Linked DNA regions of Arabidopsis thaliana. The protein of the gene in region 3 purifies or fractionates together with the protein of the main gene of each other region. This does not show direct contact. Each region holds a gene or a part of one and is shown on either strand. Other genes may lie near its edges.

Evidence for each region.
Region 1: the proteins of GR1 (region 3) and AT2G45290 fractionate together in Arabidopsis thaliana (co-fractionation; one large-scale study listed by BioGRID). This does not show direct contact.
Region 2: the proteins of GR1 (region 3) and AT3G62510 fractionate together in Arabidopsis thaliana (co-fractionation; one large-scale study listed by BioGRID). This does not show direct contact.
Region 4: the proteins of GR1 (region 3) and AT5G17380 fractionate together in Arabidopsis thaliana (co-fractionation; one large-scale study listed by BioGRID). This does not show direct contact.

The regions. Positions count from the first base shown.
Region 1 is NC_003071.7:18,668,752-18,677,214, forward strand, and holds AT2G45290 (Transketolase), read left to right. Parts: upstream 1-3,745; 5' UTR 3,746-3,985; coding exon 3,986-4,468; intron 4,469-4,650; coding exon 4,651-4,741; intron 4,742-4,830; coding exon 4,831-4,936; intron 4,937-5,018; coding exon 5,019-5,301; intron 5,302-5,390; coding exon 5,391-5,539; intron 5,540-5,633; coding exon 5,634-5,787; intron 5,788-5,878; coding exon 5,879-6,838; 3' UTR 6,839-7,700; downstream 7,701-8,463. Other genes in the region: GCP1 (glycoprotease 1), read left to right, coding at 56-170, 254-342, 438-581; RAD51C (RAS associated with diabetes protein 51C), read left to right, coding at 1,352-1,598, 1,739-1,825, 1,928-2,050, 2,133-2,166, 2,249-2,319, 2,398-2,624, 2,735-2,866, 2,952-3,018 and 1 more.
Region 2 is NC_003074.8:23,120,030-23,125,332, forward strand, and holds AT3G62510 (disulfide isomerase-like protein), read left to right. Parts: upstream 1-2,801; 5' UTR 2,802-2,823; exon of another isoform or gene 2,824-3,159; intron 3,160-3,306; 5' UTR 3,307-3,308; coding exon 3,309-3,431; intron 3,432-3,526; coding exon 3,527-3,745; 3' UTR 3,746-3,762; downstream 3,763-5,303. Other genes in the region: AT3G62499 (YTH family protein), read left to right, coding at 1-120; AT3G62500 (F-box protein RMF), read left to right, coding at 394-925, 1,132-1,248, 1,323-1,355, 1,468-1,638, 1,738-1,845, 1,943-2,012, 2,100-2,165, 2,251-2,337 and 1 more.
Region 3 is NC_003074.8:8,728,203-8,738,062, reverse strand, and holds GR1 (glutathione-disulfide reductase), read left to right. Parts: upstream 1-3,438; 5' UTR 3,439-3,745; exon of another isoform or gene 3,746-3,821; intron 3,822-3,920; 5' UTR 3,921-3,947; coding exon 3,948-4,097; intron 4,098-4,200; coding exon 4,201-4,265; intron 4,266-4,351; coding exon 4,352-4,421; intron 4,422-4,628; coding exon 4,629-4,700; intron 4,701-5,205; coding exon 5,206-5,409; intron 5,410-5,631; coding exon 5,632-5,705; intron 5,706-5,797; coding exon 5,798-5,881; intron 5,882-5,969; coding exon 5,970-6,057; intron 6,058-6,166; coding exon 6,167-6,248; intron 6,249-6,578; coding exon 6,579-6,652; intron 6,653-6,768; coding exon 6,769-6,876; intron 6,877-7,012; coding exon 7,013-7,077; intron 7,078-7,421; coding exon 7,422-7,535; intron 7,536-7,689; coding exon 7,690-7,789; intron 7,790-8,057; coding exon 8,058-8,111; intron 8,112-8,205; coding exon 8,206-8,301; 3' UTR 8,302-8,709; downstream 8,710-9,860. Other genes in the region: AT3G24180 (Beta-glucosidase, GBA2 type family protein), read left to right, coding at 117-301, 867-934, 1,121-1,193, 1,275-1,336, 1,475-2,690, 2,800-3,052; PMP (putative type 1 membrane protein), read right to left, coding at 9,040-9,108, 9,270-9,478, 9,623-9,725.
Region 4 is NC_003076.8:5,723,377-5,730,127, reverse strand, and holds AT5G17380 (Thiamine pyrophosphate dependent pyruvate decarboxylase family protein), read left to right. Parts: upstream 1-3,215; 5' UTR 3,216-3,407; coding exon 3,408-4,811; intron 4,812-4,893; coding exon 4,894-5,208; 3' UTR 5,209-5,369; downstream 5,370-6,751. Other genes in the region: ER-ANT1 (endoplasmic reticulum-adenine nucleotide transporter 1), read left to right, coding at 24-287, 375-746, 829-1,113; AT5G17390 (Adenine nucleotide alpha hydrolases-like superfamily protein), read right to left, coding at 1,440-1,736, 1,842-1,927, 2,014-2,488; AT5G17370 (Transducin/WD40 repeat-like superfamily protein), read left to right, coding at 5,409-5,475, 5,575-5,699, 5,840-5,983, 6,068-6,198, 6,353-6,577, 6,654-6,751. UniProt on the Arabidopsis thaliana protein: Catalyzes a carbon-carbon cleavage reaction; cleaves a 2-hydroxy-3-methylacyl-CoA into formyl-CoA and a 2-methyl-branched fatty aldehyde.

The DNA.
Region 1 (8,463 bases), on a different chromosome or scaffold from region 3:
GAAACCTCTGTTTTGCTTGACAAATGCTTCTAGACTAATATTGACTAAGCTTCAGGTAATCTCTGGTGGTGTTGCTTCAAACAAGTATGTACGACTCCGACTTAATAACATTGTCGAAAACAAAAACCTGAAACTTGTTTGCCCTCCTCCTAGCCTCTGCACAGACAATGGTAAATAGAGTTTGAAATTCTCCTACTGATCAAATTAGAGACACAGAGAATAGAAACTAACAAGTATTCATTAGTCTCACCAGGAGTAATGGTGGCTTGGACTGGTCTCGAGCATTTTCGTGTAGGAAGATATGATCCACCTCCACCTGCAACTGAACCTGAGGATTATGTGGTACTTTTTCTTAACAAAACTCGGTACTTGTAAAGATTCTATTGTTTGAAAAACTGATAACTTGGAGATTGATGTTTTGTTGGTTATGAATTTAGTATGATCTTCGACCGAGGTGGCCTCTTGGCGAGGAGTATGCGAAAGGAAGAAGCGAAGCTCGTTCTATGAGAACTGCACGGATCCATCCGTCACTTACTTCAATCATTAGAGCAGATTCTCTTCAACAACAAACACAAACGTAGCAAGAAGATTGTCTCCTGTAACTTAAAACCAGATATCCAAATCCTTGTATTCTTTTCACTGAGGAACAAACGCTTTTCCGGTTAATTTAATTTCGTTCAATCATTGGTCCCGGTTAACCTAAACCGTGTCTGGTTCATTATACTTTTTAGTTTATTCCTAGTTCCAACATTAAATGGCGCCAACATTGAGGAGAAAAAAAGAAGCTTGCAGAGATCAATTTTTCTCTAAAGATTCAGTGGCCGTGAGGAATTCTTTCAGCTTCAACATATGCTCTAATCTTCTCAGGCAGGGAGTAATGATGCCTTTGCTCGTCCATGGAAAGTCATGGGACGTCTTTTATCGATAAATCGGTTGTGGAGCGGAGTGTTCTGTAGCTTCGAGGCGGTCAGAGATGGATTTCCGGTCAAGAAGATGTGGAGAAGACCAATCGATTGTCACAGAGTCTGTTCTGCTAAGGAGTTTTCAAATGGATTTGAAGAAAAATGGCAGGCTTCATTGTTTTAAGGTTGTTGGTCTCAAATCCATTTGTATCTTTGCCCATTTTGGGCTTTAAATGAAAAGTTGTTCGACGAAAAAAAAAGGGAAAAAAATTAAAAAAACGTAAAAAAAGTTGCAAATATGGATCGAACTCACGACATTAGTAAAATTTAGATGTCGTTGAACCACTAGACTACTGAGAATTATACGATTTTTAATCCAATAGTTTTTAAATATTGATTCAACGATAGGGAGTTAAAAGACTTTCATCGTTATATATGTGGCGCCAACAATGATTTCATTTGGGCGGCGTAAATCGCCGGCGATTGAAGAAACTTCACTCGCGACTTCAGTCATGGAGGCATGGAGGTTACCGTTATCGCCTTCGATTAGAGGAAAACTGATATCGGCCGGTTATACTTGTCTGTCTTCGATTGCTTCCGTCTCTTCTTCTGATCTCGCTCGAGGTAAATTTCTGCTTTACCCTAATCTTAGAAGATTAGAATCTGTTGCTCGTTTTTCTCTGATTAGCACAGACAGTACACCTCAATTGATTAGTCCTTGGGTTGATAATTAGGGTTCTATTTAGTCTCTTGTTTAAGGCTTATTTCTGGAATAATTCTATATATGTGTGTGTGTGTGTTTTGAGTCATCTTTGATATCGTTGGTGTGTGAGTAGATGCAAATATCACAGAGGAGGAAGCATTTGAGATTTTGAAGCTGGCTAATCAAAGTTGTTGCAATGGAAGCCGTTCACTCATAAATGGTAACTTGATGAACTCCTCCTTGGAGCTATGTTGGTGGTTTTTCTCCTTCTTAAATGGTTCACTCAAGGATTCTCTTTATGAAATTTTGTGACTAAACAAAGGAGCAAAGAACGCTTGGGATATGCTTCACGAGGAGGAGTCTTTGCCGCGTATTACTACATCTTGCTCTGATCTTGATAACATTTTGGGCGGTGGAATTAGCTGTAGGGATGTTACAGAGATTGGTATGTCATCTCCATTATCATTCTTTCTCTGGTCCAATTTGAGATCATTAAGTGATTTAGTGGTTTGCTTATTTTCTCAAAGGTGGGGTACCAGGGATTGGCAAGACTCAGATTGGGTAAATCCGCTTCACTGCTTTCCTCTACTTTCTCATCATCATCAGAGTGTTTCCTCTTCTGTTAACTTCGATCTGGTTTCAGGATCCAGCTCTCTGTGAATGTTCAGATTCCACGTGAGTGTGGTGGTCTTGGAGGGAAAGCTATATATATCGGTATGTTTCTTTTAGTAGTGATGACTAATGCCTTGGTTGATCACTTACTTGGTTGTTAATGCTTTTTGTATGCTACAGATACAGAAGGTAGCTTCATGGTGGAGCGTGCTTTACAGATAGCAGAAGCTTGTGTAGAGGACATGGAAGAATACACAGGATACATGCATAAACATTTTCAAGCAAATCAAGTACAAATGAAACCAGAAGATATCTTAGAGAACATATTCTACTTCCGTGTCTGCAGTTACACCGAGCAAATCGCATTGGTCAATCATCTTGAAAAGTTCATCTCTGAAAACAAAGATGTAGGTATAATAATTTTGAAGTTCCATCCCGTTGATTTGCTGCTACAAGTGTATATTGTGACATAATTCGGCGGCTCACTAAGACTCTCTTTAATCTTTCATGGTTGCAGGTTAAAGTTGTAATCGTAGACAGTATCACCTTTCATTTCCGTCAGGACTATGATGACTTAGCCCAGAGGACACGAGTGCTCAGCGAAATGGCTTTAAAGTTCATGAAGCTTGCCAAAAAGTTCTCACTTGCGGTAAGAAGAAATGATCTAATTCACAATACAATCCTTGACTAGCTTAAGTGGAGGTTCCTAATCAACTCTTATGATCCAATCTCAGGTCGTGTTACTAAACCAGGTGACCACAAAGTTTAGTGAAGGCTCGTTTCAACTAGCGCTTGCTTTAGGTGAGCCAAACTCAAATCTACCATCTCAGTTTGCTATTATCATCATCATCATTCATTTGTTATGATACTTAAATGGTCAACTTGTGCTGTTTTCAGGCGATAGCTGGTCTCATTCGTGCACCAACCGAGTCATTCTGTATTGGAATGGTGATGAGCGTTACGCATATATCGATAAGTCCCCTTCACTTCCTTCAGCTTCGGCTTCATACACTGTAACCAGTAGAGGTCTAAGAAACTCATCCTCGAGTAGCAAGCGAGTCAAGATGATGTAATGACACACCACGACACAGTCACAAGGACATGAGTAAGCTTTCTCCGGTTTAGTTTTGGTTCAGTTCTTGATTCCATTAAACTGCATGAGTTTTTTTCGGCCCAATTGTTTCATAAAGCCCAAATGGGCAAATATTCGGTACAAAAGAAGGTCATAAGAAGGCCCACTAATTGCAAACATAACAAGAAAAAATGAGCAAAATAAAGACACGTGCTATGCAACGTGGGATGTTGAGAGAAAAAAAGGTTTCGTCAGCTACGCCGTCACCGACTGGGTCAATACCGGAGTTGGTGAATTGGTGACTAAAATGTATTTCCTAAATCTAAAGCAATTTTGCCCCCAAAAAAAAAAAAAATCTAAAGTAATTAGGTTCTTCACCAACCCTTGTCATAACCATGGCTTTTGCTTAACACACCAACCATGCCGCATTGTCAATCTATTTTTTACTTAAATTAAATTATTATTTTAATAATTAGCGTAAAAAGCAATGATTAGTTGAAAATTAAACAAAAGAATTAGATTCGAAAAATTGTTAAAGCCATAGAGCATCACAGCCGTCAAGATTGTGTCCTTTCTGAATCCAACGGTCAGATCGAGATCTCATTGGTTTATTAATAGCAACAGTCTCCTAAAATAGGTTTGCAGAGAAGCTTTCTCTTCTATTTTCTCTCTCTCAGTTAACCAGAGAGAGCATCAATGGCTTCTACTTCTTCTCTAGCGCTCTCACAAGCTCTCCTTACACGAGCCATCTCTCACAATGGCTCTGAAAACTGCGTCTCTATACCAGCTTTCTCTGCTCTCAAATCCACTTCTCCACGCACCAGTGGCACCATCTCTTCCCGTCGACGAAACGCCTCCACGATCAGTCACTCTCTCCGCCCTCTGGTTCGTGCAGCCGCCGTAGAGGCAATCGTGACAAGTTCTGATTCGTCCCTGGTTGATAAGTCGGTGAACACGATCAGGTTTCTGGCAATAGATGCGGTTGAGAAGGCGAAATCAGGTCATCCAGGTCTTCCTATGGGCTGTGCTCCGATGTCTCACATTTTGTACGATGAAGTCATGAAGTATAACCCCAAGAATCCTTACTGGTTTAACCGTGATCGTTTCGTTCTCTCTGCTGGACATGGATGCATGTTGCAATACGCTCTGCTTCACCTTGCTGGCTACGACAGCGTTAGGGTTTGTGTTCTCTTACTCTGCTTATTAAGTTTGTATCCTTTTAGTTTACATTATTGAGATTACATAGTAAATACACAGATTGTTCCGTTTCCCTGCTCATTTGGTGATTTTTGGAGTCTTGAGATTTAGAATTGTAGAACCAACTTAAGATTTGCTGAAGCAGTGTTGAAGTTTTTTATTAGGAGGAAGATTTGAAGAGCTTCCGTCAATGGGGAAGTAAGACTCCAGGACATCCTGAGAATTTTGAGACTCCTGGTGTTGAAGCCACTACTGGTTAGTTAGATTTTCTCTGCTTCTTTTGTGTGTTTTAGTTGATGTTGATCTTTTGTAATATAGCATTGCTTGTATTTGCCAACATGCAGGTCCTCTTGGACAAGGTATTGCAAATGCTGTTGGTTTAGCTCTTGCGGAGAAGCATTTGGCTGCTAGATTTAACAAACCTGACAATGAGATTGTTGACCACTACACGTAAGATTTTGACTCCTTCAACGGCACTTTTATTGTTATCTTTCTTGGATTGTGATGTTGTAAACTGACTGCTTTGGATTAGGTATTCGATTCTTGGAGATGGTTGTCAGATGGAAGGGATTTCAAATGAAGTTTGCTCTCTAGCTGGTCACTGGGGACTTGGAAAGCTAATCGCTTTCTACGATGACAATCACATTTCCATTGATGGAGACACAGATATTGCTTTTACCGAGAGCGTGGACAAACGCTTTGAAGCTCTTGGATGGCATGTTATCTGGGTAAAGAATGGAAACAATGGTTATGATGAGATCCGTGCTGCCATTAGGGAAGCTAAGGCTGTAACAGACAAGCCCACTTTGATTAAGGTATCTGCACACTTTTTTTAGCCATGAACTCATTAAGCAACGTTTGATCTCATGGCCTTTGGTGTTAATTGTTTTGTGGCATGGTTTAGGTCACTACTACAATTGGTTATGGTTCTCCCAACAAGGCAAACTCATACAGTGTCCATGGAGCTGCGCTTGGTGAGAAGGAAGTTGAGGCTACCCGAAACAATCTTGGGTGGCCATATGAGCCGTTCCATGTACCTGAGGATGTCAAAAGGTAAGTAGAACTTAACTATGCACTTCTATTTATGGTTATGGTTGTGGTATGAGAACCTGCTTTGGTAATTTACTATAATTCTTATGTTTTCTAGCCATTGGAGCCGTCACACGCCCGAAGGGGCTGCTCTTGAAGCTGATTGGAATGCCAAATTTGCAGCTTATGAGAAGAAATATCCGGAGGAAGCTGCAGAGTTGAAATCTATTATCTCAGGTGAATTGCCCGTTGGTTGGGAGAAGGCACTTCCTGTAAGTAGAACTTTCTGGTAATCTATAACGTTTTATCAGTATTCTTCATATATAAGGCTCTTATTTTAGGCAACTTAAAATTTTCATTTAGACATATACACCAGACTCTCCGGGTGATGCCACCAGAAACCTGTCTCAGCAATGTCTTAACGCACTTGCGAAAGCTGTGCCTGGTTTTCTTGGTGGGAGTGCTGACCTTGCATCTTCCAACATGACAATGCTTAAAGCATTCGGCAACTTCCAAAAAGCCACACCTGAAGAAAGAAACCTTAGATTTGGTGTCAGGGAACATGGTATGGGAGCTATCTGCAACGGCATTGCCCTTCACAGCCCCGGTTTTATCCCTTACTGCGCAACTTTCTTTGTGTTTACTGACTATATGAGAGCTGCAATGAGAATCTCGGCTTTGTCTGAAGCTGGTGTTATATACGTTATGACCCATGACTCCATTGGTCTTGGAGAAGATGGACCAACCCACCAACCCATCGAACACTTATCCAGTTTCCGTGCCATGCCCAATATTATGATGTTCCGTCCAGCTGATGGGAACGAAACAGCCGGTGCATACAAAATCGCTGTCACAAAACGTAAGACACCTTCTGTCTTAGCCTTATCTAGACAAAAGCTGCCTCAACTTCCAGGAACATCTATTGAGAGCGTCGAGAAAGGTGGATACACCATTTCTGACAACTCAACCGGTAACAAACCCGATGTGATCTTGATCGGAACTGGATCAGAGCTAGAGATTGCTGCTCAAGCTGCAGAGAAGTTAAGGGAACAAGGCAAAAGTGTGAGAGTTGTTTCCTTTGTATGTTGGGAGCTTTTCGACGAGCAATCAGATGCATACAAGGAAAGTGTTTTGCCATCTGATGTATCAGCTAGAGTTAGTATCGAAGCTGGATCGACTTTTGGATGGGGAAAGATCGTCGGAGGAAAAGGGAAATCGATTGGAATTGATACGTTTGGAGCAAGTGCACCAGCAGGAAAGCTTTATAAAGAGTTTGGTATCACCATTGAAGCTATGGTTGAAGCAGCCAAGTCACTTATTTAAAAAAGTATCTTACAGGTACTACCGAGGTTTGCATTTGAAGTAAGAGACATTCCATAAGCATTATCTTCTTTGTCCAAATAAAAATATACTCCTTCCAATCTTTTTATAAATGATGTTTAAAGCTTTCATTTTGGTTTTTAAATAAATGATGTTTTAAATTTTCAATGCAAAATTATTTTTATTGGTTGATTAAATAAATGATGTTTTAGGCTTTTATTTATATTTTTATTGTTTTCTTGTAATTAACATAGTTTTGATCTTTGTAAACAACAACTCTATTGTACTTTTATTCTTGATTAGTTGATTTTATTTCGCAAAGACATGTAATCCTTACATGTTAATTGCAATCGTCTCAACTAGTCTTACATCTACTTTGTAGTCTAATTGGTTGACACAAAAGGAATTTACGGAATTCTGTCTAGAATCTTTCCATTTTTGCTTACAAATATGGCACAACCGGAAATTCCCTTACTTATTTATGGAAAAACAAAAGTGTCATGTGTTATATATATTGGTCCCTTTTTATGTTTGTAGGGCTATCACTACCAATCCACAATGGAAGATTCACAACCGTGTACATCACGTAACCTAGATCATGCCGAAAACTCCACAGCAAGCATTCCTCTTAAACTCATCTTCGAAATACTATCGAGGCTTTCGACGAAATTTATCATCAGATTCCGATCCGTGTCGATGCTGTGACGCTCTATCATCGATAGTAAAGATTTCGTCGACGCCTTTCTGAATCCTCTTTTTTCAATGAAGACTCTTTTTTTAGTCCGCTTTATGGAATAATACTTATGTTTTAACGTAATGAATCTTTATATCTATTTGTATTTTTCAGTTACACTTTTGTTTGGACGTTTTGTTTTCAAAGAACTTCTCAAGTTTTCTTTTCCTTTTTTCTTCTTGTAGTTTGCCTTGCTCGTTGGTGAATACACTACATTAATTGAGGGCACTTGCGATTATGATGTTCTCCCGCGTGAAAGAGCATTGACCTCTCTTTTATTCAAAACATCACATAACAGAGAGTCTGTGAGGTTTGGGACATCGCATTCTCAAATCTCAATATAAGTGGTTTTGGTCGAATGCTAGAAAAGGGTGACTTGTATGTTGTGTCGCCGCTAGTGTTCGTACATACAGTTTATGATCTAACGTATCTATAACATATTATTAATAGATATTATTTTGTTTTAATTTTGCACATTGTTTATAAATTAAGTGCAAAAATTTTTAGCTCCAAGAGATCGCCTTTGCTAATCAATAAAATTGAACGCATTTAATAAAATTGTAAGAGCAAACTCGCACTGATACGTAGAATAAATTTGTTGCTTTTGCCTTCACGACACCATTACCTATAGTTAATACTCCAAAAGAAATAGCAGATTCAACATACAACGTGCAAGACCAAAAAACAAATGACTCGTAATCTCCAGAGAATCATAATTCATAACATGGGAGATTGTCCACAAAAAACATAAATTCCCTTTCATGTCTTTTTGTTAGAAAACCCATTTCTTAAGGCCCAACAAAAAACATAATCCCCTTTCATGTCTTTTTGTTAGAAACCCCATTTATCTTTCTTGAGGCCCAATTTGAAAACCCACATTTTCTTTCACCTAACC
Region 2 (5,303 bases), about 14 Mb from region 3:
CTCCTCTTTTGTCTTCCTTCGCCGTCGATTTTAAGGTTTTATCTTCTCCGTAGTGAAAGCACTGATAATTTCTCCAAGGAATTTACGAGGAGGATTTGGTTTGTTTCTCCTGCGTGTTAGAGTTTTACGATTTCTCTGTCGTTTGATTTCTTAATTCTATCCTCTGAGAGAACGAGAATTTGGTTTTCGTTTTCGAATTTAGGGTTGAAGAAGCGGTTTCGCATTGGGTTTGTTGTCTATTGAGCCAATTTGCTAAAGGAATTGAAACGTTGCGAGTTTTTGTTTCCCGGAGGTCCGAAGTGCGAATCTGTTTTGTTTAATGAAATTAGGGGTTTGGAATCGGAATTTGAATAGTCGTTTATGTTGACTACGCGATAATAGCTGAGATAGGACATGATTTTGAAACGGATTTTGACGACATTCGATAATCTGAATCTGAAGCGGTGCAAAATTGATTTAGAAATTGAGTATGGTAGCCAAAAGGGTGAGATTATGGTGTATAAGAAGAGACAACGAGCAAGCGTTGATCAACCATGTAGCAGAGAACCCGGAGTTCTAACAAGTAGCTCAAGCTCCTTGACCAGTAGAGAAGAATCTCAACAAGTGTGCTCTGACCAGTCCAAGTCTTCGCGTGGCAGAGTTCGAGCGGTTCCTTCAAGGTTCAGGGACTCCATTGTTGGTACATGGAAATCCTTGAAGAGTCGCAAGGAAGAGTCGACGGAGACATGTATCTGGGGAAGCTCGAAATTGCATCGAAGCAAAGACCCGAAGCTGTTTCCACGTAAGGATAACGAAGACAGCAGCGAAGTAGATTGCGATTACTGGGATGCTAACTTTGGTATGCCGAAAAAGTCCGACGCCTCGCGTAAGGGCGTGTACAAACCAGAGGAATTTACAGTCGGCGATCTTGTCTGGGCCGGCTGTGGTACAAGCGCCTGATGGGGTCTTGAAACATTGCGTCCCTGGCGCAATACGTGTCATGTTTTTTGGGTACTCTAAATGGAAAAAAATTGTCAATTGTCAAAAAGTCGTGTTAAATATAGATGTATTGTACAGATCTTTGACTTTGAAGTACTTCATTTGCTGATCACAGCCTCATCTTTATCTGTTTTTTTTACACTGTAATTATAGATTGGATGCCGATTGGTGCCTTTGTGCTTGATTCTCGAACTTCACTCCTGACTGAGAGTTTGAGTGGTCGCCTGAAAGTCCCAAAGGAAGGAACCATAGAACGGATGTTACAAAAATGTCTTATTCATGATCTTCAGAAACTTTGTCAACTGCAGGAAAAACTGTAACATATGGCTTATCTCATTTTCCAGATTTACAGCTTGTGCGACCTGTTTGTGACCTCAGTACCTGTGAGGTAAAAGACACTAATCAACTCTAATCTGTTGCTGAAACTTTTGTATTGATCTCTTGCAATAACTAAATTGCAACTAAGAGTGTTTCTGTTTTACTATGTAGGAACAATGCAAACTCTTGATGCTAGGCACATTGAACTCTTCCTTAGTGAAGGCTACAAAGATGGAAGCTGGGACTACAATCTGATTGGATCTCATAAGTTGCAGAAAAACGCAAGTGCAGCTTGTGGAGCCATATTTGACCTCAAACACCATAAAGAATCTTCATCCTCAGGTAACTTCAAATCTTCATTACTGTTATGTTCCTTTACTTCTCCTCTTTGAATCATTCTCCTTTGTCTCATACAAATTTCACATGAAACCTCTATAATAGGTATTCTCAACCTCAAGTCTTGGACCGGACAGCCAGATATTTCCCAACCTAAAGCAGTTATCGCACCCCATGCAGTTGCTGTTCACACAAGATTGCGAGAAAACGAAGGTATATAACTTTGCATCATCAACCATCTTTATCTAGAAAACACAATTACAAATAATTCTCTTGCCAAAAGGAATTGAATCCAAATTTGTTGTTTCAGTTGCGGAAATCCAATCAGTATTGTGGCATTTGCAAGAGAGTATGGCAGCCCTTCAAATGATGGAGATTGGGTGAGAATATATGTGACCATGTTTGGTGAAATACAGACCTGTAAGAAATGATTACATCTATTTAGCTGACTTGATTTGATGTATTAGGTTTATTGTGATGAGTGTGATGTATGGCCGTATGGGTGCGACAATAATTTATATAAGCGCTTTAAGGTACACCTTCATGCATCTTAACTTTTGATTCTAAGTAATGAACACGCTTGTTGAACTATCACACTAATTTGGTTATCATCTTAAGGAACTGGAGCACAACAGTTACTATTGCCCTAACTGTAAAGTCCAGCATGAGCTTATCAATATTAGAAGAACAGAACTCAGTGTTCAAGTATATTGTTAACTTCTCATGTTCTCCTGATTTTATTGTTTGCATTTCTCCATTGCTATAATATGCGAGATTTCCTCACAACCTCTTTGGGATTGGTCTACAGAAAAGGCGACACAGACTGAGCTGCCTGATGAGATTAATGTAGTCTGTAATGGCATGGAAGGAACATATATCAGAGCATTTCATGCGTACGTATTAGATGTCTCAGCCTTATTTCAATTTCTTCATTTAGAAAGGATCTTATTTGTTTATGAATTATGACTATGCAGCACAATATCGTAAATTGATTTTTTCTCTGAAAACGATAAAAAATCCGTGTTTAATCCTAGGTTTCTGTTATCATTGTCTTGTTGTTTTAGAGATTTGACCAACACATTAATCTTTGAACTATTGTTTCAGAATTGAGTGCAAGTGTGGTTCATGTGGGTCAAGGAAGCAGTCACCAAGTGAATGGGAACGGCATACAGGCTGTAGATACTAGATAGCGTAAGAGTGAAAGACACAATGCTACCTCTAGAAAAATGGCTTTGCATGAAGACTTTGATACTATATGTATCTGTATATGTAGAAGAGTATCAGTTTTATCTAAATGACTAGTCTCCAAATTTGTGGTTTATTGATTTCGTCAGAATGGTAGGCTCTTTAACTGATTTAAGGTGAAAACTACATTGGTCTTTGTTCAGTGTTAGATTTGTCTTTTGTGGGTTTGGAATGGATTAAAGAGGAGTCTTTTACTGGATTTTGTTGAATGCTAGATTTGGGTTTAGTAAACAATGAATCCTTTACTGGTTTTGAAGGATGTTATATTTGAAACTGATTAGAGCTAAACCCTCTATTGCTTAGTGGTTCTTAATTTAAGGGTTTTGCCGCAGCTTCCCTAATTTAAGCTTGTTTTCTAATACAAAGTACAAAAGCAGTGTGTTCGTCAACTATCTTCTTACTCTGTTTTCGTTTAGAGAGTTTTTGCAGAGATGAGGAGAACTATAACAATGGTGATAAAGATGTCAATACTTATGATATTGATTTCATCAATGGTGATGAATATGGTCGAGGTTGAGGTTGACCAGATTGAATCATGGGTCAAGGACTTCCAGGTTTCATTCTCTTTTTCACACATTCACACAAGCTTTATGTAAAAGAAGTATATATGAAATCAATATAACCTAACCAAAGAAAATGTTTTCTCTAGGATGGAAAAGCTGCTGTCCACAAAAATTCTCAACCTATTCCAGCTGAGAACAACGAACCAGTGAAGCTTGTTGTCGCCGAGAGCCTTGACGACATAGTTCAGGTCAGCGAGCGGAAACGTTGTAGTATACGAAGGAGACAGGACAAAGGAAGACTTCATAGTTCAGGGTTGGTGATACTAGCAGAAGATGATGAGGAAGAACACGAAAAGATGGATTAGTTAAAGCTTCCAAAAACTGAATCAAAACAATCATTATTACATTAGTTTGTGGTTGTGGATTAGCAATGTTTAAGTAGTTTGATCTATCAATCTCCTGAATTTCTAGATTGCAGATATTTTATCTCATTTTGCTGTCTCACTTGATTCGTGGGTTATATTGCTTAATTTGATTTAAACTCTGTTTTGTGTGGTTACATAGGACTCTGTTTCGCCTGTGTATAGGAAGAGAGTAATGACGTTGAGTGTACAGAGTTGGAGAAGGGTTTCGAGAAAAAATTGTAATTCTTGAATTCGTCTCAGCTTGAGAATAGTGAGTCCATGGACTTTTACCGGATATGAGTTGTACAATGCAGAGACTGATCCCGAACTGAAAGCTGTTATGAGAGGACATGGGAAAAGCCATTGGCTTCGTTTGACCGGAAAGAATTTATGAGTAGTAAGTAGCATATCTAAAGTAAACGCCATGCAAACAAAGAAAACAATGATGAAGATATAAGAGCATCCACATTGGTGGGCTTTTAGCAAATGTTCTTAACAATAATTTTATAATTTATTTTGAAGTTAAGAGTTTTGATAAGAGTTTTTTTTTTTTAAGAGTGTATTTTGTCTCTTATATAAGAGCAAAATCTTAGGCCTGGGCATTTTAACCGAACCGAACCGAACCGACCCGACTCAACCGAACTCAAACCGATCCAAACCAAACCCAATCTAAGACTCAAACAATTCGGTTGTATTTTATCTCAACCCAAATGGGTCGGTTCGGTTCGGTTTTGAACCAAACCGAACCGACAACCCAATGTCTTTATATACTTAATTAATTAATTCTATAAATAATATTACAAATAACTCTAAATATTTATTTATCTCTAACTAAAACTCTAACCCTAAAAAGTAAAAACCTAAGGTTTACTTCTAACTTCGTTTCATTTGTTCTTCCGTCGTCTCTCTCTACTCTCTACAGCCACGGTATGATTTTTAACTACTCTCTAGCAATACAATTACGCTCATCTCAATTTTAGTTAAATATTATGAGTATATGATGATTTTTTCAATCTGTACGTACACCGCAAAGTCATGGAAAAGAAAAATCTGTGTTTGCGTTGTCTTGTTTCTTCTATTTACTTAGATTTTTTAATTTTTAAGAATAGGTTTCATGTAGGTTGGGTGATTTTGTTTGTTTACAATATATATAATATATTTTAGCATTCATACCAATAATCAATGGATTTTCGTGCAAGAAAACAGATCATACATGTTTATTTAGTTTACTAATAATGAAAGATGTTTTAATAGAAACGTAATTGTATTCTTTCAATTGACTAACAATTTTATACATGTTTTGTTTGTAGATGTCTAAAAGAAACACGACTAGCAATAAAAGAAAAGAACCCGAGTCTCCAACAGTGTCGCCAAAGGCAAAAAGAAAACTACCTACAAGATCAACAGCATGGAAAGTCTTTACGAGGTTGAAAGATGATGATAATAGTTGCTCATGCAATTATTGTGGTAAAATCTATTCATGTAATCCTGCTACATGTGGAACCAGCAATATGAACAC
Region 3 (9,860 bases):
CTTTTGACTTTATCATTGCTCTTTGTGCTGAATTGTCAATTTGTAAGACCTTTGGTTTAATATATATGGTGTCATTTTAATAAATGAGACTAAAGTTGCGATATTTAACCTACAAGGATGGGAAATTTGATCAAGAAAACTTCAATAGCGGGCCAAGCACACCTTCATTAGCTGGAGACACTATTTGTGCAGCAGTCTCGGCTTCGGCATGGGTAGAAGCTCATGGCAAGTGCACTGTGTCTTTTGCACTTTCATGGTCATCGCCAAAAGTGAAATTTTCAAAGGGAAGCACATATGACAGGTAAATAAAGTACAACCTTTGTAGCCTCTTCCCAACAAGTTAAGTTGGTTCTTTGATAATCGTTATCACCAACTTATTTTCATATGATCAATGTTGTCTTAAAGTTGGCTACTTGTTCTGTCCATTGCATCAGTTTTCTGTGTTGTTTGTAGTTTACATCTTTTCTCAGTAATGCTGGATCTGCTTCTAAGTCCAGAATCTTGAAGACGCTCTCAGTTATGTGTTTTATATATTTTTAAAGAGAAGAATAACTCTGAGAGAGAAAGATAGTTCTAGGCAAGCTAAAGATAAAGCATAGTGCCTGGCACTAGTTGTACACATAGAAAATGCTCAAGCAAACGTAGGTTAATACTTCAGCATTAAATAGAGGGAAGCATAAATTTTCCCTTTTGGGTGTCATTTGTTTAACAAAGCTTAAACCCATGGCCGAATTGAGTGTATGGAATACATGCTTTGAGAAGCTACCAATATATTAATGTGTATACGCTGTTGATTTTCTGTCTTTGGTTATACACTGTTGATTTCTGGGTTCTGTTTTCTGTCTTTTTCCGTCTTTGGTTTGCAGGAGATACACTAAATTTTATGGTACTTCGCCAAGAGCAGCGTTGGACCTTGTGCATGATGCACTGACAAGTATGTATTTGTGGTGCTGATGTTCATGTGTCATATGCTTCACTTAAGTTGCCACCCTGTATGGATGTATACCTGATAATGTTGTTAACTGAAATTGTTCCATGTTACACATACACACAATTTGTCTTCCGTTTTACGTGGAATAGTGCTTATGCATTATTGACCAGCATCGGTTTTCAACTTCAGATTATAAGAGGTGGGAGGAAGATATTGAAGCATGGCAGAATCCCATTCTCAGAGATGAAAGGCTCCCTGAGTGGTAATTGCTTTGGAACCTAATAGATCTTTGAATACTTTGCTCTCTCACCGTTCTGCCCTGAACTATTTTGTATTTTTGTAGGTACAAGTTCACTCTGTTCAATGAGCTTTACTTTTTGGTTGCCGGTGGTACAGTTTGGATAGGTACACATCTATACGCTTCTTCAAAGTCAAACTCTTGATTGTAAAATTGTGTTCTTCGCTTTTAACAAAATTTTGTTGTTTCATTATTTTGGTGCCTTGAAATTATTGTATCACCTTATCAACGGTTTTTGGTTGCAGACTCTTCTTCACTCAATGCTAATGGGAATAGTCAGCATCAACAATCGGGATTAGGAAATTCAGATGGTAAGGTCGGTGGACTTGACATTAATGATCAACGGAATGACCTTGGTAATGGCAACAGCGTTGGAGTAAAAAGCAATGATGAAGTATCAGCCATTCATAACCGGAATGGTTTATTTGTCGATACTCCCCATGTAGATGATGGCGATGATGTTGGTCGGTTTCTGTATTTGGAAGGTGTGGAGTATGTGATGTGGTGCACATATGATGTACACTTTTACGCATCATATGCGCTCCTTATGCTATTCCCAAAGATCGAACTAAACATCCAGCGTGATTTTGCGAAAGCCGTGTTGTCTGAAGATGGTAGGAAGGTTAAGTTCCTGGCAGAAGGAAATGTGGGAATTCGCAAGGTCAGAGGTGCTGTTCCTCACGATCTGGGGATGCATGATCCTTGGAATGAAATGAATGCCTACAACATACATGACACAAGCAGGTGGAAGGATCTGAACCCAAAGTTTGTGCTTCAGGTGTATAGAGATTTTGCAGCTACAGGGGATTACCAATTTGGAATAGACGTGTGGCCCGCAGTTCGTGCTGCTATGGAGTACATGGAACAGTTTGATAGAGACAATGACGATCTAATAGAGAATGATGGTTTCCCAGATCAGACATATGATACATGGACTGTTCATGGCGTGAGTGCCTACTGCGGTTGCCTGTGGCTGGCTGCTCTTCAAGCTGCAGCAGCAATGGCTCTCCAAATTGGTGACAAATTCTTTGCAGAACTTTGTAAAAATAAGTTTTTGAATGCAAAGGCAGCACTGGAAACGAAACTCTGGAATGGATCATACTTCAATTACGACAGTGGGTCAAGCAGCAACAGCAAATCTATACAGACCGATCAGCTGGCGGGTCAATGGTATGCCGCGTCTTCAGGTCTGCCTCCATTATTTGAGGAATCCAAAATCAGAAGCACTATGCAAAAGATCTTTGATTTCAATGTGATGAAGACAAAAGGAGGTAAAATGGGTGCTGTAAATGGGATGCATCCGGATGGGAAAGTGGATGACACGTGCATGCAGTCTCGTGAGATATGGACAGGTGTTACTTATGCAGCTGCGGCTACTATGATCCTCTCTGGAATGGAAGAACAAGGTTTCACCACTGCTGAGGGAATTTTCACAGCTGGCTGGTCAGAAGAAGGTTTCGGGTAAGTTTTCTTTCTTCTTTATATCCAGTCTGTTAATTGTTTCGATATCACACACACATAGATATACTCGAGCATGATGATGATGTATCTTTGTTGAACCGAATAACAGATATTGGTTCCAGACACCGGAAGGTTGGACAATGGATGGGCATTACCGGTCACTGATATACATGAGACCGCTCGCGATATGGGGAATGCAATGGGCATTATCGTTGCCAAAGGCAATTCTGGACGCTCCACAGATCAACATGATGGACAGAGTACACTTATCCCCTAGAAGCCGAAGATTCTCGAACAACTTCAAAGTTGTGAAACACAAGGCAAAGTGTTTTGGTAATTCAGCATTAAGCTGTTCTTGCTAAATCATTCGGTCTTGTTATATATAAGATACAAGTAAATTCACATCTCTGATATGATTATCGGAGTAACATATATAAAAAAGAGGAAATGTTATTTAAGGAGAGGAACTAGCCGACATAGTTCCTGAGTTGTAATAATATTAATAGAGAGGAGTATGTGGGAAAAGTTTCCATAAAAAGATGATGGAAACGTAAATGTTGTTCAACATTTTGGTGTGGAGGTGACTTGACTCTTGTTTTGTTTAGATAATAAATAATAATCTGAGAAGAACAATTTGTGTTCTTCTTTTCTTCTGTTGGTTTTGAATTATTGGCTAAAAGAAAAGCCACGTAAGAGCATATAATGACAACGCCTACGTACGCTTTTTAGCGTTCAATTTAGACCTTAAGTTTTGAAAGATTCCATGTCTTCGTTTTAAAAGTCGCTTTCAATTGTTTGAGCATATGTTTCGTAGGGAGCACTAAGTTGGTATACATAAAGGTATTGATCAATCTAAAAAACTCAATGGTTTAATTATATTAATGACTTTAGCCTAAAAAAACTTAAGTCAGTGTAAAACAATATCGATGTGTGATTAAGAAGAGATCCAATTTAACATTACCCACACAATCATTTGATTATTTCCTCCTCTCCGTATCTGTGTCTCTCTTCTCTTGATCTTTTAGTGTTCTTGCTTTGTCGCTTCAACGCTTAAGGTAACACTGCTTCTTCTTTGATATTCGCGATTCATCGAACGATTTCATCATTATAGACAAACATCCTATCGATCGGGTTTGTTTTTGCTGATTCGAGATTCACTGTTTGTTAGTTTCATTTCGTTATTTTGCTTCATGTGGTGTTGATTGATTATTCGATTTTCTTTTTTGGCAGTTTGGATTTGTGTGAGTCTGCATAATCATGGCGAGGAAGATGCTTGTTGATGGTGAGATTGATAAGGTGGCGGCTGATGAAGCCAACGCGACGCACTATGATTTTGATTTGTTTGTCATCGGTGCCGGGAGTGGCGGTGTTCGTGCTGCTAGGTTTTCGGCTAATCATGGCGCTAAGGTCTGAATTATTTTTGAGGATAGTGATGATCTCTAGACATTAGTGTATGTCTGGTTTTGGTATTAATGTGTTGTTGTTGTTTGTTCTGAATCAATTGTTGTAGGTTGGTATTTGTGAGCTTCCATTTCACCCTATTAGCTCTGAGGAGATTGGAGGCGTTGGTGGAACGTAAGTTCCTTGTTGATGCATTATCAAACGTTGGAATCTTACACGATCTTATACCTTTATTTGTTTCCACTTTTTTTGGCTTTCAGCTGTGTTATCCGTGGTTGTGTTCCTAAAAAGATTCTCGTCTATGGAGCTACTTACGGTGGTGAACTTGAGGTATGAACCATGTTTTTTAATCATCATTTCAATGTCTTTCTTTAAGCTGTAAAAGCAAACTTCTTAATAGTCATTTTCCCTAGCAATATTTGCAAAATTGTATTCATGTTCCTAAATTATTGTTTAGGCTATATGTCTATGAACAATTCATGTCAACTGAGAGAGAATTGTGTTTGATGATGTATACTGTTGTTTAACTGCTGGCAGGATGCTAAAAATTATGGGTGGGAAATAAATGAGAAAGTCGACTTCACATGGAAGAAGCTTTTGCAAAAGAAGGTATGCAGGAATTGCTATAATGCTTACGTATTCTTATTTTTCAGTAATTGAGTGAAATATTTCTTGATACACTTGCACCAGTTGCTCGAAGTTATCCCAATGAAATCAGCTTATTGTAAAACGATTAGCGTTGTAGCTTTCTCCTTGACACTGTAATATCTTCCTTTGATCTTTAAGTTGTGAAGAAATTATGGTTGAAACTATTTCAAGAAAGTGACCTTTAGGTTAATATTTTTGGATGTTTTGGTTGTAATAGCAGTATAGTGTCTTGGATTTCTCACAATGAGAAACTACTAAAACTCTGGGATGTATAAGCATTGATATTTTTCCGCAACCTACTGAAGATACTTATATTATTGTTTTGTCAAGTATGAAAGTTAGATGGTGGGGAATGGTTTTTTGCTGCTATAGTTTTTTCTAGTGTGCTCAGTAGATTGGATATTTTTGCGATGTAACTAATTCGGTCATAAATAATCAATTACTGTCTTTAATTCCTTCTGTGCAGACTGATGAGATACTAAGACTGAATAATATCTACAAGCGGTTATTGGCAAATGCTGCGGTGAAATTGTATGAAGGTGAAGGAAGAGTAGTTGGTCCCAACGAAGTGGAGGTGAGACAAATAGATGGCACAAAAATAAGTTATACCGCAAAGCACATATTGATTGCCACTGGCAGTCGGGCGCAAAAGCCTAATATTCCTGGACATGTAAGTTTCTGTGTTCATGTTATTTTTTTTATCTACTATAGTGTGATGTGCTTGGTATTTATGAAATCATTATCTTCAGAGTAAGTCCGGAAAGATTTTAATAGAAATAACAGACACATCTGTATGTTTGCAATATGATTTCTCTAAATTAGTCTGTGAGAAAAACTATTAACTGCTATTTATGGAAAGTCCACTGAGTTATACATAAACTGTCTTTTATAGGAGCTGGCTATTACATCTGATGAAGCTTTGAGCTTGGAAGAATTTCCCAAGCGTGCTATAGTGCTTGGAGGAGGGTAATGTCTTCCTCAATGTTTTCCTCCTGCTGTACCTAACATGCCAGCTGTTTCAATGGTTTAATCCTCGTTTCTATTTACGTTTTAATTAGGTATATTGCTGTGGAGTTTGCATCAATATGGCGTGGAATGGGTGCTACTGTAGATTTATTCTTCAGGAAGGAACTTCCGCTAAGGTGCTGGTTCTCTGTCAAATTATGTTGAATAACTGAAAGTCCATCTCTTTGTTTTAGCTTCTTTTCTTTCTAAAACTCTACTTTTCAGGGGTTTTGATGACGAAATGAGGGCACTAGTTGCTAGAAATCTTGAAGGAAGGGGCGTTAATCTGCATCCACAAACAAGTTTGACTCAGGTATCTGAATATGATTATTACTTTTCATGTCTCATTACTATATACGTTCTTTTCACTTGTTTCATGAGTTCATAGTACTTTACTGAACATACACTATCTTTCCATTTAGTTGACAAAAACAGACCAGGGGATCAAAGTCATATCGTCCCATGGGGAGGAATTCGTGGCAGATGTCGTCCTATTTGCTACTGGTAAATTTTCTGTTACGTGATTCTCAAATTTCGTTTGTTTATAATAGAGTACTTTTATCTCTGTTCTCTTCTACTCTAATACATGTTCCTCTGCGTGGATTTTTGGGTTTACGGAACAGTAGGTTTCTTCATTCTGTTTTTCGATAGTTGTATGTTTGTGCGGGTTTTGCTTCCTCCCTTGAACTTAATTTTTGAGGAATCTACTTATTATTGAAATGGAGCATGATTGGTATTTTGGTGTTAAAATTCCTGAATTATTGTAGACCAGGAAGCTCTGTAGCTTTACCTCCAGCTGTCTAAGGATGTATCTTTTGTTTATATTTGATACAGGCAGAAGTCCTAATACCAAAAGATTGAATTTAGAAGCTGTTGGTGTTGAACTTGATCAGGCTGGAGCTGTGAAGGTTTTAACAATTTCCTAAATTTGCAGATACTAAAATTTATCCTGAATAAAGTTTTCCGTGACTTTCTGGGGAAACATTCTCCTCTTGCAGCTACTAATTCAGTACATTATCCTCAGGTTGACGAGTATTCACGAACTAATATACCTAGCATATGGGCTGTAGGAGATGCCACAAACCGAATTAACCTTACACCTGTTGCGTTAATGGAGGCCACCTGTTTTGCGGTCTGTGCCTCTTATCTTGCACATATAATTTACACAAACCTTTCGAGGAGTTGTACCTACCACCAACTATTTCAGCTTTTGTGTTTGGGAATGTCTACTTATGTATTCCATTTGTGGATTGTTTTGATGCTTGCAGAACACTGCTTTTGGTGGAAAGCCTACTAAAGCAGAATACAGCAATGTCGCCTGTGCTGTATTTTGGTAAGTATTCTTTCTGATAGGATGAAAGTTTGCTTTATTTGTGTGTCATATTGCAGGCACTAGTTACCTCAAACTATGTGTATTGTGTCCCGGAACAATTCTCCACAAACTATGTGATCTTTAAAATGTGAATATCAAACTCTGAAAATATCTGAAAGTACTCCACAAACATTTCTCCTATATTGGCATATGTTTTTACTGTATAGCCCCAATATTATCATAATTATAGAGTTACTCCACAAACATATCTGCTACTCTGGAAATATCAGTATTCTCATAGTTATATAGATATTACATTTTCTAAATATTTTTTATTTTTATTTTTGTTTCCTTATGTCTTCCAGCATACCACCACTAGCTGTAGTGGGTCTCAGCGAAGAAGAAGCAGTAGAACAAGCAACCGGTGATATTCTGGTCTTCACCTCAGGCTTTAATCCAATGAAGAACACCATTTCTGGGTATGCAAGCATTGAAAGTTCTTTTCTTTTTTTTTTTGTCTAAAGCATTGAAAGTTCTAAGTTTTAGAAAATCCTTAGAAAAGTTCTTGATTTTCTTCAATATGCTTGCACCTGATCACTCTTTGAACTAATCACTAAATTATTTTGGTTATAGACGCCAGGAAAAGACATTGATGAAGCTAATAGTTGATGAGAAGAGTGATAAGGTTATTGGAGCATCCATGTGCGGTCCTGATGCAGCTGAGATCATGCAGGCAAGTTTTCCTTTATAGTAGCTTCTACCATTTATTTTACTTCCCTTTAGCTGCTCTACTGAGTGGTGCATAGGTGTCAAGAACAAAAATCATTTACAGGGTAGCTGAAAGATTTGGGTTGATTAAAGACGATTGCATGTCTGAATTTTTCTTCTAACCATATAGAACCTGATTTGAGTTTGAGAAGTATTTAGTATTGTAAATGGATTAGAGTTTGATCCGAAGCGTGTCTTGATTTTAAGTGATTATATTGTATGGCTTAATGCAGGGGATTGCAATTGCGCTCAAGTGTGGAGCAACCAAAGCACAATTTGATAGCACGGTAAGTCATACGTCTTCCAAGCACTTGGGTTTCACTTTCACCAGTTTGATGTTTGCTCTAACTAAAGATAATTAATATTGTGAACAAAACACAGGTTGGGATACATCCATCTTCTGCAGAGGAATTTGTGACAATGCGCAGTGTGACCAGACGCATTGCCCACAAACCCAAACCTAAGACAAATCTATGAACCGCAAAATATAAAGAGCTATATAGCATGAAAACTCGGTACACTTAATTTGATCAAAGAGTCAGACAACGATGAGTTTAATCATACTCGTGTCCCAATAAAGGATTTGTAATTTTTGTTTGTTTGTATGATGCTTCTCTTCTTACTTACTTGAGAAAACATCAAGGTTTCTTCTCTTATTGCTTAGTGGAACTTTATTACAAAGAATTATTCTATGAACCCCTCTTGGTCATATCATTTACTTCAGTTCTGTACTCGCATATGGTCTACTAAGTAATAACTAGAACCAAATCGAACTATATTGAATCAAACTGAACTAATAGAGGTCGATGGTGACATTTGTAAATGAGCAGCCTAATGATGCTGTCTTATGCAAAACAAAGCTCCTGGAGAAGTTGCAATAATATATTCAGATTCATGATCAAAAGCTCTTACAGAGACAGAAGATACACATCAAGTGTCCAAAGTGGTCTTTTATTATTAGGACTGAGACTCAAAATGTATGTAAGAAAGAAAATAATTATAAGTCGAGAATGCAACCAATATGGCAATATACACATAACACATCAACTGCTCTGACCACCAAAAGTTTCATCCTTCTCTTTAAACATTCAAATGACACCGGTTTCAAAGGCGGCCAGTTGAGAAACACGGCTTGATACACACAAAAATATGTAAACGAACGACCTGTAGAGAAAATCAGTGTCCTTTTGCCGTTTTGAAGCTCTGTTTCATTTCTTAGTCGAGCTTTACATTTGAATATAGAAGAGTATCCTTCGTCAAAGGCATGTTCATAAGGAAGTATACCTGCAACCAACATGACAAGTACGTCAACTTCGAGTGACTTAATACATTCAGTTTTCAAACTACGATTGAGTTCTTCAATAGGCCACTTTAGGTGGAAACATTCAACTTTACATTGGCCAAAGAATCTGCTTGGTAGTAGACTAGTAGTAATGAGATCTTACCCCAAGGATAGTTGCAATGAGAAGAATGATTCCAGTCAACCATGCAAGAGTCAGCCTAACAAGTATAACCTCAGCGATAATGGCTGCACTTGGAATTCCCTCCACTTCCACCATTGAGCGTGCAGATGAACGGGAAGACCCAAAGTTCAAAAGATTTTCTGATTCTTGGTTTACTCTCTCATCAAGGACGATAACCCCAACAATTTGGCCTACAAGAGCCAATACATCTCTCAGCTTACATAAATTCAGTTAAGAAAAAAGACAAATGTTCCAGAGAATGAGTTCCCCATCTTGAACTACTTTCTAACACATATCTTTGAAAACGAGTTTATTAAATCAGAGAGACAATTCACCTTTATGAGATGTCTCCAACAGATTGAATAGCTTTGATAATGTGGAAAGTAATACATCCATCCCTTGCTTAGCCATACCTTGTCCATACTCCTGTGCTAAAGCCTATAATTTCCAGAAAGAATAAATTATATTAGAGACATTGACAACCTTTGCAAACAAATATAAGCTAAGTACAATAACATGATGGTTGAACAATTAGACATTTTCAATGAAAAATAAACTCAAGATATAAACTCA
Region 4 (6,751 bases), on a different chromosome or scaffold from region 3:
AGAATTAGGTGAGGGAAAAGAGGATGGCTTTGATCGGAAAATCCGAGAGATTCTCTGCTGATTTTGTGATGGGTGGTGCTGCAGCCATTGTTGCCAAATCTGCAGCTGCTCCAATCGAAAGGGTGAAGCTTTTACTGCAGAATCAAGGGGAGATGATAAAGACTGGACATCTCATAAGACCTTACACTGGTTTGGGTAATTGCTTTACCAGAATCTATAGAGAAGAAGGTGTTTTGTCCTTTTGGAGAGGAAACCAAGCCAATGTCATACGATATTTCCCTACACAGGTACTACATTCCAAGAACCCTTACTTTAGATCAGCGTGCTGAGGTTTGTGTTAGATTCTTATTGTCACTAAATTTAATTGCTTTTAGGCTTCCAACTTTGCATTTAAAGGTTACTTCAAGAACCTTCTTGGATGTTCGAAAGAGAAAGATGGTTACTTGAAGTGGTTTGCTGGAAATGTAGCTTCGGGAAGTGCTGCTGGAGCAACAACTTCCTTGTTTCTGTACCATTTGGATTATGCGCGGACCCGTTTAGGCACTGATGCAAAGGAATGTTCTGTTAATGGCAAGAGACAGTTTAAAGGGATGATCGATGTGTATCGTAAAACTTTGTCAAGTGACGGTATTAAAGGTCTTTACCGTGGATTTGGTGTGTCAATAGTGGGAATCACTCTTTACCGAGGAATGTATTTTGGGATGTACGACACCATCAAACCCATTGTGTTAGTCGGTTCCTTAGAGGTAATGTCATCTATGTATGCCGTTATTATTTCTTAATCTATAGCAGAAAATAGCTAAAAATGGTTCTTTGATTCCGTGACAGGGAAACTTCTTGGCTAGTTTTCTATTGGGTTGGAGTATTACTACCTCTGCAGGCGTCATTGCTTACCCTTTTGACACACTTAGGAGGAGAATGATGCTTACATCAGGACAACCTGTTAAATACCGGAACACCATTCATGCCTTAAGAGAGATATTGAAGTCGGAAGGGTTCTATGCGCTATATAGAGGAGTTACTGCGAACATGCTTCTTGGAGTAGCAGGAGCAGGAGTGCTTGCGGGATATGATCAGCTTCACCAGATTGCTTATAAGCATTGGGTTCAGTAGTTTTGGACCAAACCCGAAACGATGACAATGAAAGCTGAGCTCAAAAAGAGAAGGTTAGTAAACACCAAGAAGTCTCACTTGCTTTCCAATGTATTGTGTTAATTAACAGAATCTCGGAATCATTAACCGATTGAACCAGCAGAAGATAGGGAAAATTGTTCATAGTTCTTGTGCAGTAACATTGTTATATCAATAATCCAAGAAAGGCCTATTTGATTTTTGTGTACTGGAGCAAGTTTGTTTCATGTATAAAAGATGAAATAGGTGAAAAAATTTTAAAGCCTTATGAATGATACAAACACAAAAGAGGAAAACTTGCGTTGTTGTCAAGCGAGAAGCCAGAAGTTTTTGTGGCGTTTGGTGGTGATTAAGTAACCGCCGAGCTTGCGGTTCTTGGGTTTAACCGCGATTGTCATGCAAGAGGCGTTTTCGAGGCAGTATTTGAGAACACCTTCGTGTCCACGGCGTCTCTTCCACGCCCATCTCTTCAATAGCCTCCAGACCGGAGGTTTCTTCTCTTGTCCAACCACTAAAAGGCTCACTTGTTGTTTCTTTGATTCTTCAACTATCTTCTGCCCTTTGTCTTTGTCTTTCCCCTCTAACCTCCTTATCTCCACTTCTATCTGACATTCATAAAAGAAATCCACACGTCGCCAGAATTTGATCAGAACAGTAATAGTGTAGCTTTCATTATATGTATAAACAATCGAATACCAAGTGTGACTCACCCCGGGTCGTTTCGTTTGGCACAGTTTCTTTAAAGTATGGACCAATTCATCGGTTTTCACCTCGCGTTTTCGGTTCTTCCTTTTACCTAAAACTCAATCCGAAAAACCTCATTAGCCAAACCAAACAAACCTTAAACAAGAAAATTGACAAAGAGGAGAGAAAGAGAAGAACTTTTTCTAAACGGTTTTGCAAAGTATAACAGAAAAAGAGTGTCTTGTGGTTGTAAAGTATGCGTAATAGCCCATTCTAAAGCTCCGGTAGAAGCAAGCGCTTTATCAACCACCACCATTACTCTATTCCCGCCTTCCGCCTCCTCCTCAACCGCCTCAACCGCTGCCACCGCCTCTTTTTTTCCTTCTCCGCCTCCAATGTTAAAGCTCTTGGCATCATCTTGTTCTTTTTCTTCTTCCTCCTCTACAATTACTTTGACTCTTTCTTCTTCCTTATCTTCAACCTCTTCACTTTCATTGTTTGCTTCTTTGGTGTCTTCTTCTCCGGATCCGGCATCATCACCATTTTCGCCTAGAAACTCGATTCTTTGGTCTCTCTCTATGGAACTCGAGTCCGGTTTGAACCTAATCGAAGGTGAATTGATCCGGACTCTTCTTAGACTCAACTTGGCTGATTTCTTGAGCGATCTCGCCATGTTTTTGTTTACAAAAAGAACTCAAATGGGAACCTTAGCATTGGTTCTTGAATGTTTTGAGCGTATGTATACGTGAGGAAATTTTTTGAGAGAGGACGTGCGTGCCATTAAAGATGTTTGATTGTTAATGGTTCCACACGTTGTTGTTTTTTTCTTTTTGTCAAGCTCTTCTGTTTTCTTCATTAAATTAAACGAGTCCAAGTTTATTTGATAAATTGTTAGCTCAATCGATTGTGGAATTCACTACCGTTGGAGAAAAAAAAATTTATTTTGTAGACTCGCAAAATCATGAGAAATCTTTGAGTGGTGCTCTAGTTTTGTCGTGGTCAAAATCATCCACTTTGTGTAAAAGAACAAATCCAAATTTGATTTGTTTTCTTTGCTAACTACAAAACAATTCTAGTGGCAGCCCTCAAGGGTTATACAAGGTCACTTGTTCCAAACCATGAACTCATAAATTTATCATTTTATCACATCCAAATCCAAATTATTGAGAAGATTAGGTAAGTAGGAGTCGCTAGTGACCAAAACCAAAGATATATTTTATTGAATCACTAAATCACAATACCTTTGTAAATTAAGTTATCTGTCATACTACTTTGTTATTGAATAATGTAAGTTGCCAAAAATAAAGAAATTCATGTATAGTTTGGTCGTATAATCAATTTGTTGAGAATTTTACTATTTGCTACGTAGATAACTTTTAAATTAGCAAAACACACATAATTACGTGTACAAGTTTGTAGATAAAATTTTCAGAGAACACACAAAATGCAAATAAAGAAGTCAATAATAGGCTAATAGTAGCATTAATGCAAAACACGTAATCACAGTAAGAGTAAAACACAAATACAAAAGGCTATATAAAGAAACTAAAGCAAGTAGAAGAAACTGAAACTTTGAGCAAATCCAAGAGAACATGGCGGATAAATCAGAAACCACTCCACCGTCAATTGATGGCAACGTTCTCGTGGCCAAGTCACTCTCTCATCTCGGCGTAACCCACATGTTCGGCGTCGTTGGAATCCCCGTCACGTCTCTAGCTAGCCGAGCTATGGCTTTAGGTATACGTTTCATCGCCTTCCACAACGAACAATCCGCTGGTTACGCCGCTTCAGCTTACGGTTACCTCACGGGTAAACCGGGTATCCTTTTAACGGTTTCGGGTCCGGGTTGTGTTCATGGGCTCGCGGGTCTTTCCAACGCTTGGGTTAATACATGGCCGATGGTGATGATCTCTGGTTCTTGTGATCAGAGAGATGTTGGTCGTGGAGATTTCCAGGAGCTTGATCAGATCGAAGCGGTTAAAGCTTTCTCGAAATTATCAGAGAAAGCGAAAGATGTTCGTGAAATCCCTGATTGTGTTTCTAGGGTTTTGGATCGAGCTGTTTCGGGTCGACCCGGTGGGTGTTATCTGGATATTCCGACTGATGTGTTGCGTCAGAAGATATCGGAATCGGAAGCTGATAAATTGGTGGATGAGGTTGAGAGATCACGGAAGGAAGAACCGATTCGTGGATCTCTGAGATCGGAGATTGAATCGGCGGTTTCGTTGCTGAGGAAAGCTGAGAGGCCGTTGATTGTGTTTGGTAAAGGAGCTGCGTATTCGAGAGCAGAAGATGAGCTGAAGAAGCTTGTTGAAATTACTGGAATACCCTTTTTACCAACTCCGATGGGTAAAGGTTTGTTACCGGACACACACGAGTTCTCGGCGACTGCGGCGAGGTCTCTTGCTATTGGGAAATGTGATGTCGCGTTGGTGGTTGGAGCTAGGCTTAACTGGCTTCTTCATTTCGGAGAGTCGCCTAAATGGGATAAAGATGTAAAATTTATATTGGTGGATGTCTCTGAGGAAGAGATTGAGCTAAGGAAACCTCATTTGGGGATTGTTGGAGATGCTAAAACTGTGATTGGATTGTTGAATAGAGAGATCAAAGACGATCCTTTTTGTTTAGGGAAGTCTAATTCATGGGTGGAATCGATTTCGAAGAAGGCGAAAGAGAATGGTGAGAAGATGGAGATACAGCTTGCTAAAGATGTGGTTCCTTTCAATTTCTTGACTCCTATGAGGATAATCAGAGACGCTATTTTGGCTGTGGAAGGACCGAGTCCTGTTGTGGTATCGGAAGGAGCTAATACAATGGATGTAGGAAGATCTGTTTTGGTTCAGAAAGAGCCAAGGACAAGGCTTGATGCAGGAACTTGGGGAACTATGGGTGTTGGTTTAGGTTATTGTATTGCTGCTGCTGTTGCTTCTCCTGATCGGCTTGTTGTCGCTGTTGAAGGAGACTCTGGTTTTGGCTTCAGCGCCATGGAAGTCGAGGTAGTAAAAAGATTTACATACTTATTAGCATAATGTGGAAATTGTCTTTTGTCTGAACTTTTGTCTTTAATGATGATTGCAGACATTGGTTCGATACAATCTTGCTGTGGTGATTATAGTCTTCAACAATGGTGGTGTCTACGGCGGTGATCGAAGGGGACCTGAAGAAATCTCCGGTCCTCATAAAGAAGATCCAGCACCAACATCATTTGTTCCTAATGCAGGCTACCACAAGCTCATTGAAGCCTTTGGAGGCAAAGGTTATATTGTGGAAACACCCGATGAGCTTAAATCCGCTCTCGCTGAGTCGTTCGCCGCAAGAAAACCCGCGGTGGTAAATGTTATTATTGATCCTTTTGCTGGTGCTGAGAGTGGGAGATTACAGCACAAGAACTAAAAAGCTTTGTGGAGAGTCCCTTTAAATAATGTTGAAGTTGTTTGTTGTGAACAAAAAGGATATACGTTTTAGTTTTCTGTTTTTCACTATTGTAAACCGGATCATAAACCGGTCCATTTTAAACCATAATTGAATAAAAACACGTTTCCGGTTCAATTCTTAAAACCTAAAGCTATTTATATGGCGCATGTTAGCCTTTAATGGTGTCTGATGAGAAAGAACACAGAGAACAGAGTCGACTCCAAGTCCGACACAACATGAAACCAGGTCTGAATCTTCTTCCTCGACGGATTCTTCTATTTTCGATTGCGTATCCGAGATTTTGATGTGGGAATTTGGTTTATCTTTGATTTTTTTTTTTTTCAGAACTTCCTGGGTTTTATTACGACGAGGAGAAGAACAGATATTTTCCCATTAAAGGTCCTATCCCTGGTGCAAAGTCTTCTTCTTCTTCAAGAACGAAACAAAAACCCGAGCCAAAGCCTGAACAGGTCAGTTTACTACAAATTCAACTTTTTCAAGTTTATGTAGTAAAGGTCGAGTCTTGCAGAATCAATGAGAATTCTCCAATCTTCTCTAGCTTGAACTTGTTTATGTAAATCAGTGATTAGTTATATGGAAATTGCATCAGGAAACTAATTATCAGAAGAGGACTAAACTAAAAGCATTGAAGCTAGTTTATTCCCGAGAGTTAAATGGCAATGTTATTTCTGTCAACAAGAAGATGTCTAACTTCAGGGACGAGATTCAAAAGACACAAGCTTCTTATCCTGTGGTAATTACCACCTAGAATAACTTAACCTTTTTGTTTCTTATTTAAGAGTACAGAAGACAGATATGAAACATTTCTTATGTTTAGGTATGGAGATACGGATCCACAGAAGACATTGGCGATACCGCTTTGAAACAGTTTCAGGTTGATGTACAAACACCTGTAGGCTTGACCAGAAAGAACATCCTAGTAGCAGGCAGTGCTGGTGGTTGCTTGAGGTATGTATTAGTCAGCTTCTTGGAATTATTGGTTTTTATGGATGTTCAAAACTGGACTATGAAACTTTATGTATTTCCATTTATTGAAGAGTTAGTAGAGCTGTTTAAATTATTTGCAGGCCAACTTATATGCTTTGGAAGTTTTTTTTTGCAGCATTCTAAGAGTTTCCAAAGATAGACAAGTATACGATGGTGTAATCGAGTGTGATCCAGTTTCTGTTCTTCCTTGCAAAGAAAACGATACAGAAGAGAGGGAAGCACCTGAGCATATATTGAGACCTACGCAACCTTGTCTGGTCGCCTTATCTTCTATATCTTCTATTGAGTTAATCGGAAGATCTGATGCATCTGAAAACTCCCACCCCGTAAACCGGGCATTGTATCCTTTAAATGTGTCTTATCTTTTACTCTCGGTCTTGATTTCCCATTTGTAAAACCTTGACATGAGAAAACAGAATAACTACATTGGGATCAACTGGCCGTGGGTCGATTTTTATCTTAAATGTTGCTGAGGAAGTGAACATACTTACTCCGCGAAGCCTCCAAGGGAATG